Drosophila melanogaster: one gene and its partners. The protein of the gene in region 1 interacts with the protein of each later gene in a pairwise test. Each region holds a gene or a part of one and is shown in the gene's direction. Other genes may lie near its edges.

Region 1 (3,983 bases):
ATGTTATTGCAAATTTTAGTTTTTGCTATTTTTTTTTGCGTAATTTACATCTGCATTGCAATTGCTTCCTTGAATATAACAAAAGTGCCTATATAGTCTTATCTTATACATACATACTTTATTGGGCTAGTTTTAAAATAAAATATATTCAGACATGAGGTACAAAAATGAACATTGAATTTAGAATCAAATCTTTTTCGAAATACATTTTACGAAACATTTTACGTGGATTATTTCGATTTACCGAAACAGAAATATGAAGCTATATGTTTTGTTTTCAAAAATTGATCCTGCGCATTATTAGCATGCAGGTCGTACTTATTTCAAGCACCCATGAAATGGTTCAGCTTAACGATTTGACCAATATTATTTACACCTATTATTAAGTTTTAATATTATAAGCAGTATCTGTTTTATCAGACTGCTCCAGTTGTTAACAGATCAATAGCTATTTAAATAAAGATTTTGACTTTCAAAAATCCCCGCCTTGAATGAATAATTTATCTGGTTTGCCTCAAAATGTAATCACCATACAATTGCCTTTCCATCAGTCGAGTTTAGTGATCGAGATGCTGAACATCGTGTGTAGAGTCTGCGGAAGGCAGAAAATCTGTGAGAAGAGCCTGAATCTCTTCGATTTGGTCAACCGAAAATATCTAAAGCACTTGCACATGATAAGCGGACTAAGAGTGAGTTAAAAGACGTTTTAAAATTGAGATAAATAATATCAGCACCAGTTGGTGGATTTGGACGATGTTCCTGGTTTCATGTGCCTTTGCTGTCAGGCGGAACTCAGATCGGCATTGGCATTCCGGAAGCTTTGCATTAAGACCCAAACTAAATGGCTAACCATCGAGGACGACTCTTCGTCGGGTGATGAAGATACCAATGACAATTCGGAACTGGAATCGGAAAAATGCGCATTCAGCGATTTTGGGAAAAAGAAAGAAGGCGAGTTGGTTGAAGAAACTTTTCAGGTACTGATTGAAGAGGAGCCCATGGACAAAACTCTGAATAGAGATGCGAAAGCGCAGCTGAGGGAAGATGGAATAGATGAGAAGTGTGTACCTTCACAAAAGATTATCAAAGTATCAACCAAACTGGATGATCAGATTTACATATGCGAGCTGTGCGGGACTCATGCCACATCGAAACCCACTTTCCAGCGCCACATGAGAAAACACAGAGGCGAACGACCATTTGGCTGCAAGTAAACCTCGCTCACAGATTACAACTGTAGGTTCGGTATGCTGATTCCATATTCTCTTTTTAGGGATTGTGATGCCAGGTTTCTCTCTGCTGGCGAACTACGTGCCCACCACCGGGTACATACTGGGGAGCAACCGTTTGCCTGTCGCTTCTGCGAAAAGCGGTATGTCAGCTACATGGGCCGGCTGATCCACGAGCGGACTCACACCAACGATCGACCCTATGTGTGCGAAGAGTGTGGCAAGAAGTTCACCACTGCCTACGTCCTAAAGAACCACATGGTCATCCACACGGGCGAGAGGAATTTCCGATGCGATATTTGCGATCGCTCCTTCCAGAGAAAGGCGCACCTGGTAACGCACACCAGATCCATGATGCACCTCCAAAATGTCAAGAAGCAGAAGTCATGAAGGATTAAATAGCTCAAGCTATGAAATAATAAGATTTACATGCTCCTTGAGATAAAAAGATACCCAAAAGGGGACTATCTTATTTTTATCTTATCGTATTTTTATGAATTTAAGTTGTATACTCAATATTTGCACCACACCTGTTTCTCAAAATGAAATAAATGCTAATGCTTTTAAGTGTGTAGGACACAGAAAACAAAAAATTTGTATAGATTGTTTGATTTTAATTAGTAGCAGCCGTTACGATTTAGTGGTTTTATAAGTCGCCAGTGCTGGACAACGTCTCAGGTGGAAAAGCTAGTGCGCTGCTTCGTGGCAAATGGCAAATCAGTTTTGGGTGGCTGTCTTGTTTACAATTGGAAATTTACTAATTAGAATCGAGTAAGCTGGTAAAATGCTGCAAAATGTGTGCCGCGTGTGTGCCAGCAGCACGGACAACTCGAAATCGTTGAAACTATTTAACAGCGGCGCCTGCAAAGTGCTGCAACAAATCAATTTGCTCACCGGTGTTCTGGTAAGCCTACCCTACGAAACACATTAATTCCTTCAATTAAAATGTTGTATCTTATTTGGCAGCTGCAATGCGAACCCGGTTTACCCGACTGGATGTGCGAGACCTGCCAGACGGATTTGAAAAGCGCCATATCCTTTCGTGATCGCTGCTTGAGGAGTCAGAAGATCTTTGAAGAGTCGCTGGTCAGGAATGAAGAGGACACATTCCGCTCCTCAGTTCGTCGCAGTGCCCGTTCCCAAAGACAGCGGCATGAAGACACCGCTCCAAAGACGCCAGCAAGTCCGCTGGAGGTAATGATTAAGCTGGAGAGCCTGAGCAATGGCGATGAGGAGGATGATGGCATCGATCACCTGGACTCCTGCAACGAAGCAGACATGGAGCTGGCCATTAAAGCGATGTCCAGCTCTACCGAAGATGATGGAACTACCTCACCGGTCAGATTGAAAAGAACCCGACGTCGGGGACTTAAGAAAGGCGGGAAAGGTGAAAATCGCACAAAGGTTACGCTTCCAGTTTTCTTTTGCGATCAGTGCGGCAACAATATTACAGGGAAGTCCTCCTTCGACCGTCACCTACGCAAACACAGCGGAATTAGGCCCTTTCAGTGCGAGTAAGAAAAGCTTTAGCTCGTCAATTGTACAATCTGATAGTTAACTGTGTAACATTGCTCTCATGTAGACTCTGCCCCGCCCGCTTCCTGTCCTCCGGTGAGCTGAAAGGACACCAAGTGATGCACACTGGAGATCGCAAGTTCCAGTGTCGTTACTGTGACCGCACCTACGTCAACTACAGTGGTCGCCTGCGTCACGAGCGGACCCACACAAATGATCGACCCTTTATTTGTGCGCAGTGCGGCAAGAGCTTTACCAATTCCTACATCCTCAAGAACCACATGCTTATCCACACGGGCGAGCGCCTGTTCAGGCTAGTAAACTATGATAAATAGTGCTTAAGTTAATGATCACCTAGCCGATCCTTTGCAGATGTGAGCTGTGCCATCGATCCTTTGCGCGACCCACCCACTTGAAGACTCACTTCCGCTCTAACACTCATAAGCACAACTTGGAGAAATCGATGGCAGACGCGGGTGGAGTTCAGCTGTCACCATCCCAGTCAGCGGATCAGGTCAAATTCGTGACGGAAAAGGAGCCAGAAGCAGAGGCGGATGCCTTTACGATAGAAGTGCCTTTGCCCGCGGAGCAGGAGCAGGATGAGTCTTTGGGCCTGGCTGCTCTGGAAACATCCACTCTAATGTATAGTACAAACTAGACCTTAATGAGTCCATCTCAACCTTTAAAGCCAAATATAGTTCACAATTTGATTATCCGTTTTGATTTTTTTTGTAAAAATTCCTATTTTGGTAATGCAACCGTTTTCAACTAAGAGCTTCTTAAGTGATACCTTTTAGGGTTTATCAAAGATTGTGTCTGCTTTCTGCATGTTTCGTCTGTGAGCATTTGAACGATAATGGGTAGTAAGGTGTGTGTAGCGACTGAATAACTTATCGCAGAGGTCGCACCTGCAAATAGAATAGATTATTATTATTACACTTAAGTACTATTTCGAGTACCCGCTTACCTAAAAGCCTTCTCCCCGGTATGCACGAGCATGTGGTTCTTAAGAATATAGGATGTTGTGAAGGCATTGTTACACTCCTTGCAGACAAAAGGTCGTTCGTTAGTGTGAGTCCGCTCGTGCTTCAACCGAGTGCTGTAGTCAGAAAAGCTGCGGGAACAGTGTCTGCACTTGAAGGGCTTTTCCCCGGTATGCTTGCGAATGTGACGCTTAAGTTCCGCCGGCGTGCAGAAGCGATCCTCACAGAATCTTAAATGAAGCGGATTAGTTAGGAT
Region 2 (4,911 bases), about 10 Mb from region 1:
GCCTAGGTACATTCACTTTGCCCGACTTTCTTTGGGAGCGGTTTGACTACAGTCAACACACCATACAGAGAACTAAAGTGTGAGGGTACTGTACAGTCATACGATTAAAGAATCATCATAAATATCAGTGAGATATATCTGAACAGTATAAAAAACAGCACTTCCACAAAAAAAATGTTTCATTTGAAATTTAAAATGCTTTAAAAACACTTTACATTTATAAACCATTAAAACACAGCCAATGAGCTGTTATAAAACATATGTACATTTAACTAGTATATATTCAACTGTATTGTATTGTAACATTTTGTGTACTTTGGTAAATTATAACCCGCCATATAATAATAAGCAGTATTCTTTTGTGACAGACATGGAAATAGATTTAAATCACCAAGAGTTTGGTTTGCATGACTCTGGCCATTAGGTGATCAACACGTTGTACTTTCTGATTTTATCTTGCGCCATGGAGAAGATAAAAGCAGGAACAGTGTCGCCAAATGGAACCACGTCAGGGTGTCAAGGCCAATCGCAAAGTGCAATGCGATTGTATGTTTTGAAAAATTATAAATCTACAAAACAAATGTTCGTTCTGCTTGTTTAGGCTTTTCTGTGTCGAAATGCGCAGTTTCTTCCAGCGACTAAAGAGTTTTCACATTGGGTGAGCTCATCTTATGTAAGTGGACAACCCCCAAAATGAATCATCGGCCGGCTAATTTAAGCCAGCCAGCCAGCTACAGTTTAAGCCACCCCCTTTTTGCCCTGCACCGGTGTGAAAATTTCGCCCAACATGTTTAACAACACTATGAGTTTTCCAAAAGTTGTGGCAACATGTTGCCAAGAGATTTTCGCAGTCTCTGGCAACAAGCCAACAATACGAATCAGCTGGGCCAGACTAAAACAGCTGTTGCAACGTGTGGCAAGTGTTGCATCAGCCAATCTCAACCAGCGAGAGAGAGTTTCACTCACGTGGAGAGAAAGAGTGCGAATCTGTATTGTTTGTTGTTGCTGCATGGCAGGCTGCCAAACCAGTTGCCCTATACCTTTTGGAGCGGACATAGGTGACATATGTAACCATAAATACTTACATTTACATTAAAAATCCTGTGAATGATCATATGAATATAAATGAATATTTAGGCGCGAAAAAATACGCAAAGTATTGAACTATACTTAAGTTTCGCGGCTTTTTATTAAATACCAGTTTATTAACCCTTTGTGAGCAAACATAGTTGCTATTACTTACAACCTTAATATCTACGTTTCTAAATTATCTGGGTGCAGAGTAAAATTTATTCTTTTTTTTTAGCTTCTCTTATCTATTGTAGCCAATTTAGACCGAAATGCTATCTGTGCAATTTTCAGACTGTCGCTAGCCAAATAATATGAACGGCTATGAATAATCTGTCTGCGTTTTGCACAGTTTATTGAAAATATATATATTTTTTGTTATATTAACTTAACTGTGTTGTATGTAATACTTTGCCTCAAGTTAATAGCACATGGAAATTTTTTTTTTTCAGAACTTAAATCAGTTGATGCTAATGCATTGTTTACACCTTTTTCAGCTGCTTTCAACCAGCTAAGGGTTTTAGAGTAGAGTAGTATCTAAGAAGTAGAGGCACCCACTTATCCGAGTGGCCCATCCTCCGCATCACAAAAATAATGAGAGAAAAAGATCCCCGCGTGGAAATGTTTTGGGGGCACGGCCATAGAAAATAGACACAGCAGCTGAGAGAGCGCGTGTGTGTGAATATATGTGAATATATATTGGTGGTGGGGAAAGGGTATATGGACGGAGCGGTGAATGAAACCGGCAACGACGTCAGCAAAATTATATCAACCCCGGCCAGCGGCTGCCGTCCAGTGCTCGCAGTTGAGTCAGTTAGTAACAATACTTCGTCGCGAACAGAACAACAATTCAGTGAGTCAAGGCAAACGACAGAGCTTTCGGTGTGCAAATCAGCGTGGAATTTGTGAAATTTTCGATACGTGTTTTAGAATCCCATCTTAATGGCATCAAACGCTGAACCTCGTTACAAAGATATCCTATTCATAGAACAGTAATTTCTTTTCGTGTAAAACGTACCAGATAAACTCAACTTTGAGTGCAAAGTTCAGAGTGATTAACAGCCTGAAAAACATTTGCGAGAGACGCAATAAATTGGCGAAAATTAAACAAACAATTTCTATATATACTTCGTATCTCGGTATCTCAGATAACAGTTGTATCTAGATGCTATATAGATAAGCGCTTGTGAACACGAACACTTGACGAGTACATTAAGCATACGCCCGATCTACACAAGTGGTATCACTGAAGCAACAGCTGACCGTACCAAAAAAAAAAAAGAAAAAAAAAGAGAAAAACACTTCAAAGGCATTTTGCCCCAATATTATGTTCGTTCTGCCTGCGGTTGGTGCAACACTAACAGCAACAGCAGTGTCGAGAAAAAGCGGGAAATCCAACATCGCGTCGCCTAAGAACGTCATGCAACATTCGCCTGTCGTTGTCTTCATGTGTGTGCAACATTCGCAGCAGCAGGTTCCCATGCTCAACAACTTTATGTGTATGCGTATGCGCGGCTGGCATAACAATAAGTTTTATTGCAACAATTCAATCAATATCGAGACCTCCACGATCGGCACCGGCACTGGTGGCACTACGGGCACTAAGATCCTACGACGCTCCAAGTTGCTACGAAAGAAGCGTGACTTTAACCGCCGTCGCTTTAGTCGCCGCACTTTCTTTTGAAACCGATTCGAATAAGTCAAATAGTCACCGGAGATAAGGAGCAACAAGGATCAAGATCATATTAGTGCCGTCATCATTGGAACCTGCTCAACGTGGCAGCAACATGATGGAGGGTAAGCAACTACTGGCCACATTTCTCATTTTCCCAAAGCCAGCAACATTTGTTGCCACAACTTTGTTGCTGGCGGTGTCATTGACACTGGGTACACTTCACGTCGAGTATACATAGATAGATGAGGCCACCTACCTATAGGCCTATAGTAATCGTGAACTTTTGTAGGGCGTTGTTTTGATAGGTGTTTTGATTACATGTGAAAACGTGACGCTTAAAATAATAAATTTATATGGGGTTTCTAAACCGGATTCTGTCTTATATCTTATTCTATATTATTAGTTAAGTAACTAGTCTTAAATTTTGTATCTTTAGGATGATTACTAAATAATTAATAATGGTGACCTGTTGAGTTACAGACATTCATGCATATATGGTAGGGAAGATACAAAAATCTTTGGCTTTACTAATTTAAAACTTTAGAGACTGAGCACACCGAAACAGCTTAAAAAAACACATTTTTGGATATGCCAGACAACTGCTTGTTGCAAAAAATCACTTTAAACTTAGTCATACACTTTTAGCTACCACCACACTATATTGTATGTACATATGTAGATCACGTTTCAGATAAAAGTGATAAGATAAGATAATCAAATCGAACAAGGAAGGGGCTTTGTAGATCAATTGCTATTCATCTACACATGCAAAACGCCCTACCTTTCCATTCCCATTTCGTGGAATCGAAAAATGCGCACTCATCGTGAAAAGATTGAACGAATCGCTACGTGTTGGCCATTTATTTTGTTAATTTGCCAACTGAGGGCGTCCATTGTTGATGGTCGTCTTCGATATTCCAAGAGCTCGTGCCAGTCGGTGCGCTGCGCAAGATTGTCGTTTGAAAGTCACATATTTTTGCACGCATATGTGGACTGGCATTTAAGCTCCTCAGCTTTGGGGGCTAAAATCAGAGGACGTGGGCAAATAATCAAAATGACCCCCCCCCCCCTTGGTTATATTGTATTTGTGTCTGCAGATCAGGCCCATTACAAATATCACATGATGACAGTTTTTGCCAACCGCTGAAGCTCATTTTGCGCTTTATATTTATCAGCATGACTCATGGATTTCTAAATTATCAGTTAAAGCTGTTATACATACATGCATACGTACGTACGCAGAGCTTTTCGATTTCGAGAATTCAACAGCTTTTATCTGAGCACACATTCAAAGAGAGCTTACTAATACCACGACAAGAAAGCTCTTCTCTTCAAATGTGGGCGAATGAGCTGTACGAAAGAGAAAGAACGTGAAGAAATTTCCCAAGTTCACATCTCAACGATTTTTGGATTGTCGTGGGGTTCACAGTCTATTATTTTTAAAGGCCAAACAATCTAGAAAATGAATGCATTTGCTCTGAAATTTAAAAGACTTCCAACTAAATCACTCCCTTGGGCTAATGCATACATACATACATACATACAGATGCGTACATATATTATTATTTAGTATAACCATGCATTCTCATGCCTCGTTCTTTTGTGTTTTTAATTTTGTTTAAAGTTCTTGACCCAAAGAATATAAGATCCCAAAACAAAATGATCTTGAAAAGTTATTTTTTCAATGAAAAAACTTCTGCAATATTTTATTAATGCTAAGGGTATGCATGCAAAGTATTAGAATTACCTCAAGTTATTATAATTTCTTATGAACTATAAGTCTAAGATAGCTTAAGTACTTTGTGCAAAAAATTTCTTGACAGTGTCAAATCTGTGCAAACTTGGAAACTTAGTTGTTTTTCTCGTTCATTGTTAATAGTTTTGTTATTATTTTTTTACATATTGATGAAAAAACCTATGAATAAATAGATATTAATAAAAAAAATTCATTAATTTTAAAAAGAGGTCTTTATATATTTTTGCATTGAAAGTCAAAAATACAATTTATTTTCATTGTGCAAAATGTATGTATCTAATTATTTAATAGAAATGATATTGTGATAGGTCGGTCCACCCAAGCAAACGATTATGACTCATGCCTATAATATATCTCACTCATGAATACTTAGTCTCACTAAAATGTACTTTGCAATGTTTGGTTCGGTAAA
Region 3 (5,275 bases), on another chromosome or scaffold:
AGTGCCGGCAGTGCGACCACGCCTCCCACAACAAACAGGCGCTGGCCAACCACGTGAAGGTGGTGCACGAGAAGCGCAAGGACTTTGCCTGCCAGTACTGCGGAAAGACCTTTGGCAAGTCGCACGCCTGCAAGATTCACGAGAGAAGTCATACCGGCGAAAAGTGCTGCGAGTGCAAGATCTGCGGCAAGGTGTTCCTCTTCGAGAAGGGCCTAACCAAGCATTTGAAGACGCACGAGAAGCGTGATTTGCCCAAGACGCAGGGGACCAATGCCTTAATGGGCGACGGGGCCAGTGGATCCTCGACAATAGCCAAGCCCAGTCCGCACCTGCGTGGTCGCGTCGAGCGGGTGGACATTGCTCAGTTGGCGGGAACGGTGGCCAATCCAATTCCATCGGTCAACCTGCCCTCGTGGTCGCCGCAAGTGAACTTCACCAAGAAGGAGGGCCAGCATATCTGCCCGGACTGCGGCAAGGGCTTCAATCACGTGAGCAACATGAAGCTGCACTACAAGGTGGTGCATCAAAAGGTCAAAGACTTCTGCTGCCGCTTCTGCCCGAAGAGATTCGCCAAGAAGCAGTACCTGCGGCACCACGAGTACATACACACTGGCGAAAAGCCTTACGAGTGCAAGGTGTGCGGCAAGCATTTCCGGCAGGAGCAGGTGCTCAAGACGCATATGAAGGTGCACGACAAGCCGCCCCGTCCGCCTGGCAAGCCCAAGGAGCCGGCTGGACCCAAGGCGGAGTCCAGCACCGCGGTGAAGCGCCAGCAGCCGAAGAATTTCGAGCAATACCAGGATCCGGCGGCGGAAAGGGCAGCGGCCACCGCCGAGCTGCTGGCCTACCAGATCGAGGAGAACGAGGCCAAGCGCAAGGCGGAGGCGGAGCTCCGGAAGATCCAGGAGGCTGCCTTCGAGCAGCTAAACAAGCTGCAGAAGCAGTCGAACACTTACGACGGCTTCTACGCGCAGAAGGCGGAGGCGGAGGGCACCTCAGTGGACGCACTGAAGTTGGATCATGTTTGAGCGGCAGAATCAAACGGAAATGCTTGCGAGCAAACCCGGCCTCCGTTTCCGATCATTTCATTATGTGTTTCTATGAAGGACATATGAGTTATAGTTCTCTAAGGATTACCAACTAGTTTTCGTCACTTTGCAATTTGATCTTTTTTGTATTTAAATCCCCCCTTTAAACTGCTTAAGTTTGTACTTTACTAATTGTATTCATTTAACAATGATTTAATATAATAAACAGTAATAAGTATTGAACATTTGAATTTTAAATTCGCCCCAGTGCTGGTAAGCGGGTATTGTTGGTAAACAAGACAGAGGTGAGCTGTAATGCTGCCAACTCGTCTGTTTTTTAGCTACATTCCACTAGCTATGCAACTTATATGAGACACATATAAAACTACGTATTTAATTTAGGTTAATACATACATTTATTAAGAATCACACTTAAAATGGCACATATTTTTTAAAACATTTGAAATTTGTTATTGATGCTATCCATATTTCTAGCCGGTTTAATAATTTAGCTATTAAATAACTGTTTGTACTTGGCATCACTGTGGGGTATTTTTTGGTATTTGTTTTGGTTCGTCTGACGCGTAAAGTTTTTCTCGGCTTAATATTCCGCGGATTTGGCCAGCAGATTCCCCCTGGAACAGGCATCATGCAGGAGGAGGCCGAGGCAGCCCAGTACTCGGTGCACGCGGTGTGCCGCATCTGCCTGAATCGCCTGCCGGAGAATGGCGGCGGCGCAGGATCCTTTGACCTGTTCCTGATACCCGGATTGGCCAAGAAACTGTGTGTCTGCACTTCGCTGGCCGTGGAGCAGTCGGATGGCTTCCCCAAGTGTCTGTGCGCGCAATGCTTCAGCCGGCTGGACGATATGCACGAGTTCCAAAAGCTGTGCGTGGACTCGGTGCAAAAGTTCCAGGACATGGTGGCCAGGAACGTCTTTTGCCCGCCAGCGAGTGCGCAGATGAAAAACTTTGATTTGCTCAACGTGGCGGGGAACGAGCCTGAGCTGGTGGGGCAGGACGAGGAGGATCGTATCAACTTCGATCCGCTACTGGATCACAAAATGGAGATGATCGAGAACGAGGAGGATGTGTTCAAGATGTTGGAGCACGTGGACAAGGAGGCCGAGCAGGTGGAGAAGGAAGTGAAGCAAGATGAATTGGACGCCGCCGATCTGATGACCATCTTTGCCGCGGAATCCTCGGAGGAGAGCGAAGAAGATATTGACCAAGATGTGGACTTTGAGCCCAACAGTAGCGATGGTGACGATGATGTGCCTTTGGCCCAGCGCTTACGGGATAATTCGCGGATGATACCAAAAGCAAAGGCAGCCGTAATTAAGGAAGAGGACCAAGAGTTCCCAACAGGCTCCGAAGAGGAGGACGAGGACGGAGAAAAGTCAAAGAGTCGACGCAAGAGGATTCCGCCTGGCGAACGGCACCTGCACCGCATCATTGACTGCCACATTTGTCACCAAAAGTTCAAGAAGGCCATCCGCTACGAAGAGCACATGAAGCACCACAACGACCTGCTGCCCTTCCAGTGCAAAGTGGAAACCTGCAGGAAAGGTGTGTAATGATGGCTCCAAATCGCATTCTCGTTTTGATCACTGGCATTTACAGGTTTCACCACCGCTGGAGGATTACGACTTCACATCGACCACGCCCACACGGAGCTATCCGAGGTGCACTCCTGCAATGTCGATGGCTGCGGCAAGACCTTTCCGCGCATACGCCTGCTCACCTTTCACATGAAGAAGATGCACGGCATCACCAAGGCAGCGGCGCCCCCACGGGATTACCCTTGCACCGAGTGCGAGAAGGTATTCCGCTGTCCCATGGCGCTCAAGAAGCACATGTACAAGCACGACGGCAAGGAGTTGCCTTTCCCCTGTAACATCTGTGGCAAAAGGTTCGTAATCAATAGTGCTCTAAAGGATCATCTGATGCGGCATGCGGGCATTAAGAACTACGTGTGTCCGTACTGTGGCGTGGGAAAAACCACCAGGCAGGAATGGAACACACACATACTGACGCATACCCAGGAGAAGAAGTTCAAGTGCCACATATGCGAGCACGCATCGCACAATAAGCAGAGCCTGGCCAACCACATTAAGATCGTGCACGAGAAGATCAAAAACTATGCGTGTCAATACTGTGGAAAGACCTTTGGCAAGTCACACGCCTGCAAGATCCACGAGATGACGCACACGGGGGAAAAGCGCTGTGAGTGCAAGGTAAGGGTAGAAAGATATTTTAAGCCAGCGTCGTCATTGCAACGTTTTGTTTTTAATATTCTTAGGTTTGTGGAAAGAAGTTTCTCTATCCTAAGAGTCTGACCAAGCACTTGAAGACTCATGAGAAGCGTGTGCTTCGTGCTATTGAGACCTACCGCCAGCGGCAGGTGGAAATGGGCGAGACGCCTGGTGAACAGTTCGACAATCCACCCGCGCCACCAGTTGAGGGCATATCCATTGAGCCGATCATGTCCCGAAACGCTGCCGACGAATTGCTTAAGGTGTGCGCCGAATCCGTGGCCACCATTCCCAAAGATCCACGCCGTGTACAACGAGTGGATCTGGCGCAGTTGGCTGGCACTGCTGTGAACCCCATACCCTCTGTTTCAGTGCCGTCGTGGTCGCCGCAGGTGAACTTTACCAAGAAGGAGGGCAAACATATCTGCCCCGGTTGTGGTCAGGGATTCAACAATATCGGAAACATGAAGCGGCACTATAAGATCATCCACGAAAAGGTCAAAGATTTTGCCTGCCGCTTTTGCCCCAAAAGATTCGCAAAGGCTCAAACGTTGAGGCATCACGAGTGGATTCATACGGGCGAGAAACCCTTTGAGTGCAAGACCTGCGGCACCCATTTCCGCCAGGAGACGGCGCTGAAGCGCCACCAGCGCACCCACGAGAACCGTCCACCCGTCATTTCGCCCAAGTTTTATGCCGCTCGCGAGGAGCTGGAAGAGCAGGAACGCAGCAAGCGAGAGGCGAAGCGCCAGGCGGATGCGAAGCGGCGCGAAATTGCGGAGGCGGCCAAGGAGCAGCTATCGTCGCTGCACAAGCTTGAAAGTAGTGACCGCAGCCTGCACTCCTACGATGAGTACCAGGAGGCAGCGGCGGAGCGAGCAGCGGCATCCGCTGAACTCCAGGCGCAGCAGTTTGAAGAGAACGAAGTAAAGCGACTGGCGGAGGAGGAGCGCCGCAAGGTTCAGGAGGCTGCCTACGAGCAACTGCAACTGTTGCAGCATCAGCAGGAGGTTGACAAGGCGCAAAGCTCCTACGATGGCTACTACGCTCAAAAAGCACATGCCGATGGCACCACTTTGGATGCTTTAAAAATCGATCATGTCTGAGATTTGGCCAGCGTTTAACGCTGTCACAGATGGTAAATCAATCCTGGGTTTTTTTTATGAAAAGCAATACCTTATAATCCTTATGAGAACAGTGTGTGTAAGATGGATATGATATAGTTTTAAGCTGAAAATATTCTTTAATACTATTTAATATAATGTCCTTAACTGTAGTACAAATAATACTGTACATTATTCAGGAGAACACAGAATACCTATGTGAATTCGACTTAAGTTTAATGATTCTGGTCTGAATGGAGAGGTTGCATGTCAAATATCATCTTTTCAATAGATGAATTGATTGTGGCAGTTATATATTTATATATAAAGATTGTTTATAAGTAGCTTAAAAAATAAATTTGCCCTATTAAGAGCTTAAATCTAATCGGAATTTTTTGTTTTAAATTCATAAGTTTTACTCCTCCTTGAGTATGAATAGCTTCTTAAGGCTGTCTAGTGTCATGTTCTCCAGATCCCAGTGGGTCGACAGCGTAGTCGTGTCATCGGCTGAAGTAATTAGCGATAGAATATTCTCCTCAATCGTTTCATTCACAATGAAACGATGCACCTTCGTGGGTCTAAAAACAATTGTATTGAAACTGACAGCAACTTCACTTCAATAGCGCGCACTCACCTCTTTTGCCCAAATCGGTGAATACGACCTATGGCCTGGCGCTCGTCTCCCGGATTTAGAATGGGTTCGACGAGGAAAACATGTGTGGCTTCGATCAGGTTCAAACCCTTTGAGCCTTTGGACAGTGGCATTAGTAGACAGGTAACATTGCTCAACGGATTCTAAAGGAGGAAAAATGTTTAGCAGTGATAAATTAAATTTAACAGCAAGATAAAAACCTTGAAATCATCAAAGTCCTTATTTGTGCACTTATTGC
Region 4 (6,276 bases), on another chromosome or scaffold:
CCTGCCGCCGCTCCCACTTTTGTACATACAGTAATGCGTCGGTGAAGTAATACTCGATTGCGGGAAATCTGGAACATATACTAAGTTCAATCATTTGAAATTGGTTAGATTATTAATTTAAATAATTGCCTAAAGAGCTTCAAGGATGTTATTTTCAATTAGATTACTTATTTGAGGGTCCACTGTATATCCGCGCTCGCACATTACTGTGAAGCCTCACCTGTGTGAGTGCGGCTTATAGGCGACGTGTGTGTGTGTGTCTGAGAGAGGCTCGTGGAATATAAACAGCGCACAGTGAGAGAGGAAAACGGAAAACAGGTGGAAAAGAAAGCTTAAAAAATGCGGTCGGTCAAAAACTAAAGTTGCAGCAACAGGCGAGGGGGTGGCGGGTGCCGGGGGGCTCGAGACACGGAGACAAATACCTTTTCAAGCCGCACACACCAGCGCAAGCAAAGACGTCAGCTTATCTGCCACGCATGCGCGCGAGGGGGACGACAATAGTGTGGATCGGGGTGTCGATGTCTCTCCACCCCCCTCCAGCCCACCACCATCTAACGAGCGGGTTTCCACCCAAAGAACAGCAAAAACAACTATTGTCATTTGTTGTTTTGCCATTTGCTTCGTAAACCAAAAAGTATGCGAGATAAAATAAAAAAGCAAGTGTACCGCACGCCGCCGTTTTATCTAAATCCCAGCTGTCTGAATTATTTGAGGCTCTAACACCCCATCTCACGCTTATCAGGACCCAATTAATTATCTTCACCTGAATGGAAGCTATGCTTGGGGCATGTCTCCAGGTTTATGGTTCTTGTCGGGGAGTTCTTAGATACCAGTGCAGTTATGTATCTTAGATTGCCTTACCGAGGCTTATAATTTTCCCCTATTTACAGATGCATAGATACATATGTGTGGATTGCAAATATTTCAAGATTATAGAAGTACAAAAGTAGTAATACTTATATTATAAACATATATGTATTTCATTTAGCATAATGTTTTTGTAGATGTTTATGATGACTTAACTTAACTTCAAATCACCCAGCAGCTTTAGTACTTTCTCTAAAGCATGATTTATGCAAGCCCAACTATTTCCATGTTACCCAAGTGCGATAATGTTTATCGCGTTTCGTCATTGGCCTCTAAGCTGCTGTAGAGTTAGGAGCGAAAACACAAATCTGTCAAATTCCACAAGTGTGATGCAATTTGGGGCTTGTACGAACAGTAAAACGCTGAAATATAACACAGCGGCGCAACTTAACGAAAACAAAACATTTCCAGGGGTGTAGTGGGTCAGTGTTTTCTTTTTTACGTGCACTTCGCTTGTTTGTTTACTGCGATTTTGGCTTGTACAAGATCGTAAGCAGATAGTGCCTCCAGCTGACCCCCTCTGCAGTTTCTCTTTCACCTGTTTGCAAGTACACAAGCACCCAACACCCCCTTTCCCCTGTCCATTGACCCTGCGACACTGCTGGATTGATACACTGAAAACAATCGACAAACTTGGGGGTGTTTCTATCATGGAAAATGTTGTTAACATTTAAAAATGGTTAGAACTACATTCTAGAGACTTTCTCGCCATAGGATTATTATAATGATTTTCAATATCTTTATAAAAACAGTAGCGATTTTTGCTTAGTGTAGATAGGTATGCGACACCGCTGCCCGCGTCGCAGTCGGCGTCTGAGCCCAGCCTAAAACAGCGGAAAAGTTGTTGCTGTCACTTGAGTCGAGGGAGCGGTTTGGATAGAGTCTGCGAGGGTTAGAGCGAGAGGGAGCGAGAAAGTGTGTTTGCAAATCTCAGTTTTACGTGTGTGTGTGTGTCTTTTGCAGGTGTGTTCACTGGCTACACAGAAAAAATAAGAGAGATTTATCCGAGTGTTGAAAAGAATGTTACTGTGACATAGAACCATAGTTGGCCTAATTTTTGAAGATAAGAGCTATTACTCTACAATTACTCTCTATTACATCTACAATGCAATACAATTTGCTGCTGTTAATACAAATAAGATGAATATAATCGGAAGTAAACTATCCAAAGATATTCTCTGTGTAGTCAAAGTGGAGACACCGAGCTTAGAGGAGAACCTGGGGAAGTGGAAGTAGCGCGATTTTTGAATTCCAATGCTGATCCAAGCCAACAACGAAATGTTAAAGTTTGAGAATAATTGCGGCCATGTGCGGATCGCTTGGAGTGTGTATGCCAACGCTAGTGGAGGCTTGGAATCGGAATGCGGTCTGAGTCAGAGACGATTGGCTGCGCAATATCCAAGTGGCTTGGCGGGATTAGGGGCCTTCGGATGCAGAGGGACTTAGTCTCAGCTGCACAAAATAAACACAGCATAATGATCTAACACATACTTTAGGACCAATTTTCGTATTCGACACTCATAAGATTTCAGCTCGAAGACTCGGTCAGCGGAGGCTTTAAGGTCTTGAGAGACCAAATTGGGAACCAGACTTCCAAGGGGCTTAACCACACCCCTGCCAATAGGAAATTTAGTTTTGGGAATACTATTCTAATCAAGTTAAACATGTTTTTCGACAGCAGTCACGATATAATGTTTTAGTCATTGGAATAAGCGATTAAATGGGATTATTAAAAGCATACACATAATTCTAAATATTATTTTCAAATGACGATAGTTCAACTCGACCTAAGAAGCAAAAGTATAAGTTGGTAACGATCAAAACTTTTAATCAATGTTTAAGCTACTAAGTTCATCATTTAAACGGTAACTTATATTTTAAACGAATCAAAGACCGATATACAAAATTGTTGACGATGATGATGATGTGAAAAAATTTTATTTTTAGACGGAGCTTCAGACGTCGATCGAAGCCTGTACCGGGATTGGGAGACACCATGGTGAACCACCACTCGAACGGAGGCGGCAGTGCTGGAAACAGTAGCGGAAGCCTAAGAGGAGGCGGTGCCCATGGAGGCGGCGGCGGAGGAGGAGACTATTCCGGAGACGATCGCAGCGGAGGCGGCGAGGAGCGGGAGCGTCTGGAGAGTGACTTGCACGACAAGCCCACCTACCTGCTGGAACACCTGGCCACCTTCACGGTCAACAAGGAGTCCGGCATTGTGTATCCGGCGGACGGAATGCGTCGCCTCCTTCAGCTGGAGAAGACCACGGGTATTTGGTCGCAGAAGATGCAGCTCTGCCTGGACTATCAGTGGGTGCTAATTATGGACTATGAAACAGGGGTACGTTTCACAAACTGGGAAAGATCCTTATGGAACTCATCTTCATCCTTGCCTTACAGAACATAATCGAAAGATTCCCCGCCTCCTTGGTTCAGGAGCCCACCGCATTCACCTCGAATGACGCCATGGAGCTATACAACAACATTCTGGTCTTTATCGTATCCGGAGGCGGTGGTTCTCGCTCCGAGATGCACATATTCCAGGTGAGAATTAGTGAGGCTTCTGTCTCATGACAGTTTCATTCAAATGATTTATCCCTGCAGTCACAAAGTGTGTCCGCCGTTCACCTGGTTGAGGATCTGAAGCAGCTGAGAAGCGGCAAGATGATAACGCAGCAGCGCGGTGCCACACCCACTCAATCAGGAGGCGGAGGAGCCTCCAGCATGGCCATGATGATGAGCAAAACCTCCTCGTCCTCGTCGCATAGTAGAGTGGAGCTGCACCAGCACAGGGAGCAGCGGGCAGAGCGCGAGAGGGAGCGTGATCGAGACCGTGAGCGCGAAAGCCACCATCACATGCACCAAAGGAGCAGCATGGAACAGTATGGAATCCGTGCCGGAGTAGGAGTTTCTGGCGATGACGTTGCCCACATTAGTGGCGAGACGGATTCGGAACACGGTGGGATTGGGGGCGGTGGCGCAACGGAGCGCGATGAGACTAGCTCCACGTCCAGCGAGAAGTACGAGCGGGATGTGGCTGTGCTGAATCACTGTTTCGATGACATCGAGAAGTTCATAGCTCGTCTTCAGCACGCCGCCGCCGCTTCCCGGGAGCTCGAGCGCCGTCGTCGCAATCGGAAGTCGAAGAAAAGGGATCCGGGGGAGGGATTGCTCACTTTGAGGACACGGCCTCCCCACGAGAAGGAGTTCGTGGACATCTTTGCCAAGTTTAAGCTGTCATTTAACCTGCTGGCAAAGTTGAAGGCGCACATCCACGATCCCAACGCTCCCGAACTGGTGCATTTCCTCTTCACGCCGCTGGCTCTGATTGTGGAGGCCTCCAGCGACACGTACTACGAGTCACAGCTACCGGCCCGTGTGGTTAATCCCCTGCTGACCAGAGAGGCCATCAACCTGCTCATCAACTGTGTAACCAGCAAGGAAACGGAGCTGTGGCGCTCGTTGGGCGATGCCTGGGTGATCCCGCGAGATCAGTGGAAGGATGACGTTGGATCCTACCATCCGGTCTTCCTCGATGGCTGGTCACCGGACTATTTGATCAACGATGAACTGGAGCCACCACCAAATTCCCCGCCCGCTCATGTGAGCAAGCGCAGACTCGAGGTCCAGGCTGGATCCGGACTAAATGGTCGTGGGGGAGGCGGATACGATGACTACGACTCGGGGAACGGGATGAACATGGCCATGGGTATCGAGAAGTACACCATCCACCACGGCAACGACGGTTTAAGGGAGCGGGAAAGGGAGCGCGACAGAGAGCGGGCGGGCGCAATCAGTGCGTCTGACTTTAACGCCCGCAGCGAGCTGTCGTTCGACTCGATCGAAGGCAGGGGCGGCGGAGCAGCGGGACATGGCCATGGTCATGGCCACGGACCAGGAGCTGGACCAACCCTTAGCGCCATCACAGCTGGTCTGCAGAATCTGCATACGAGGGAATCTCGCAGTGGAAACGGGTACGGAGCAGGAGCTGGTCCGGGGCCTTCGTCGGAGTTGGGCGGTGGAGGCAGAGGCCTGCCGAATGTCAGCGACGACCAGATGCTCGAGTCCTGGCTGGAGGATCTGCAGGCGACGGGCGCTAAGATTGTGCTGGTCACCTATCCGCGAACCGCCAACAACGACAAGGAGCTTAGCGTGATGCGAGGCGAATACTTGGAGGTAAGGCCAGCACCCACGTTACCATCCTTCGTTCTGTCCTATAACCATCTCTTCGAAACTTTAGATCCTTGATGATACCCGAAAGTGGTGGAAGGCGCGCAACATGCGGGGTCAGGTGGCCCACGTGCCGCACACGATTGTAACCCCCTTCAATTTCGGGGATGGAGATGGAGCCCAGTTCTACGGGCAACAGCAGCAGCCACCGACGGGTCCCACAGGTCCGGGCAACAAATCGCGATCAGGGGTGAGTAAGGCTGGTCACTCAATTCATGATGGGACTTGCTAACCGCTCTACATTACCCAGGATAATCCCGGCATGGAACAGCGATCGCCGGATCCCACCGACATGATGCGCAGCAAGCATCTGGGCAAGAAGGGCGAGTTCCGCTACTTCTAGGATCGAGATGCGATCACCATATACATATACACATATTCCGTAGTGAGGATCTAGCGTTATAGAGAGACAGACATCAGCAGTTCCGTCTAGGATGCTAGTCCTGGTCACTAGCGATCGGATTGGCTCCAATACCTTGCACTCGCTCGCAGGAGTGTGCAAACCAGAACTAACCTTAAGACTAACCTAAGTGGAGCTCCAGACGGGAGCTGTTGAGCAGCACGTGGCTCCTGCTGAGGCGGATGCTTAAGCTGATGCTCATCCAGGCGAAAAGGGGAGGCGACGGCAATAATTTGTTTTAATAAAATTATATCCAAAGGAACCTGCCTATTGGTTGATGATTATTGAGGAGATTGTAGTTTGGAGAGCTGCTTTGCTTTATTTGGATGCTCACAAGAAGAAGTTAACTGGTGCTGTACGGTGATCAAAGCCAACGATTGAACAAAGAGCATACTACGAGAACTCGAATCGATTAAATGATGGACAACTTCTCCACGCGGGCCAGAAGCGGAGAATCGGAGTGGTACTCCAGGCTCCGCACGGCGAAGTCGCCCACTTCGTTGGTGAAGCACTTCAGAGTGGATATGGAGAAGGGGCGTCCGGGAAAGTTGTAGTAGGTGAAGTACTGCCCGTTGACGGCGATCAGGAAAGCCCGATCCCCGAGCCCAAAAGCGATCTTGAAGAGCTTTCCGCGCACAAATGGGAATTCGCCCTCGGTCTCCTCGTCGCTCAAGGCAAAACTAGAATAAGTGAGTAAAGGTGAATTCTCTTGGAGGAACTTTGCATATTGGAGTCTCGGACTCCTTTATACCTGTTGTCTTCACGCTGGTAGCTGC

The links.
Region 2: the proteins of CG8159 (region 1) and Xrp1 interact in a two-hybrid assay, tested with the Drosophila melanogaster proteins (one large-scale study listed by BioGRID).
Region 3: the proteins of CG8159 (region 1) and CG10274 interact in a two-hybrid assay, tested with the Drosophila melanogaster proteins (one large-scale study listed by BioGRID).
Region 4: the proteins of CG8159 (region 1) and aru interact in a two-hybrid assay, tested with the Drosophila melanogaster proteins (one large-scale study listed by BioGRID).

What each region holds. Positions count from the first base shown.
Region 1 is NT_033777.3:8,724,915-8,728,897, forward strand, and holds CG8159 (uncharacterized protein), read left to right. Parts: upstream 1-1,939; 5' UTR 1,940-2,013; coding exon 2,014-2,133; intron 2,134-2,195; coding exon 2,196-2,743; intron 2,744-2,811; coding exon 2,812-3,057; intron 3,058-3,116; coding exon 3,117-3,402; 3' UTR 3,403-3,456; downstream 3,457-3,983. Other genes in the region: ouib (ouija board), read left to right, coding at 570-689, 738-1,210, 1,274-1,619; ranshi, read right to left, coding at 3,538-3,652, 3,712-3,957.
Region 2 is NT_033777.3:18,913,061-18,917,971, forward strand, and holds the start of Xrp1 (Xrp1), read left to right. Parts: upstream 1-1,907; 5' UTR 1,908-2,865; intron 2,866-4,911.
Region 3 is NT_037436.4:6,178,170-6,183,444, reverse strand, and holds CG10274 (uncharacterized protein), read left to right. Parts: upstream 1-1,615; 5' UTR 1,616-1,677; coding exon 1,678-2,596; intron 2,597-2,650; coding exon 2,651-3,264; intron 3,265-3,329; coding exon 3,330-4,388; 3' UTR 4,389-4,768; downstream 4,769-5,275. Other genes in the region: D19B, read left to right, coding at 1-1,028; CG7376 (uncharacterized protein), read right to left, coding at 4,801-4,963, 5,020-5,180, 5,238-5,275.
Region 4 is NT_033779.5:861,333-867,608, reverse strand, and holds aru (arouser), read left to right. Parts: upstream 1-1,747; 5' UTR 1,748-1,782; intron 1,783-2,548; 5' UTR 2,549-2,700; coding exon 2,701-2,732; intron 2,733-2,814; coding exon 2,815-3,211; intron 3,212-3,270; coding exon 3,271-3,414; intron 3,415-3,474; coding exon 3,475-5,046; intron 5,047-5,110; coding exon 5,111-5,290; intron 5,291-5,350; coding exon 5,351-5,443; 3' UTR 5,444-5,760; downstream 5,761-6,276. Other genes in the region: CG13950 (uncharacterized protein), read right to left, coding at 5,913-6,180, 6,252-6,276.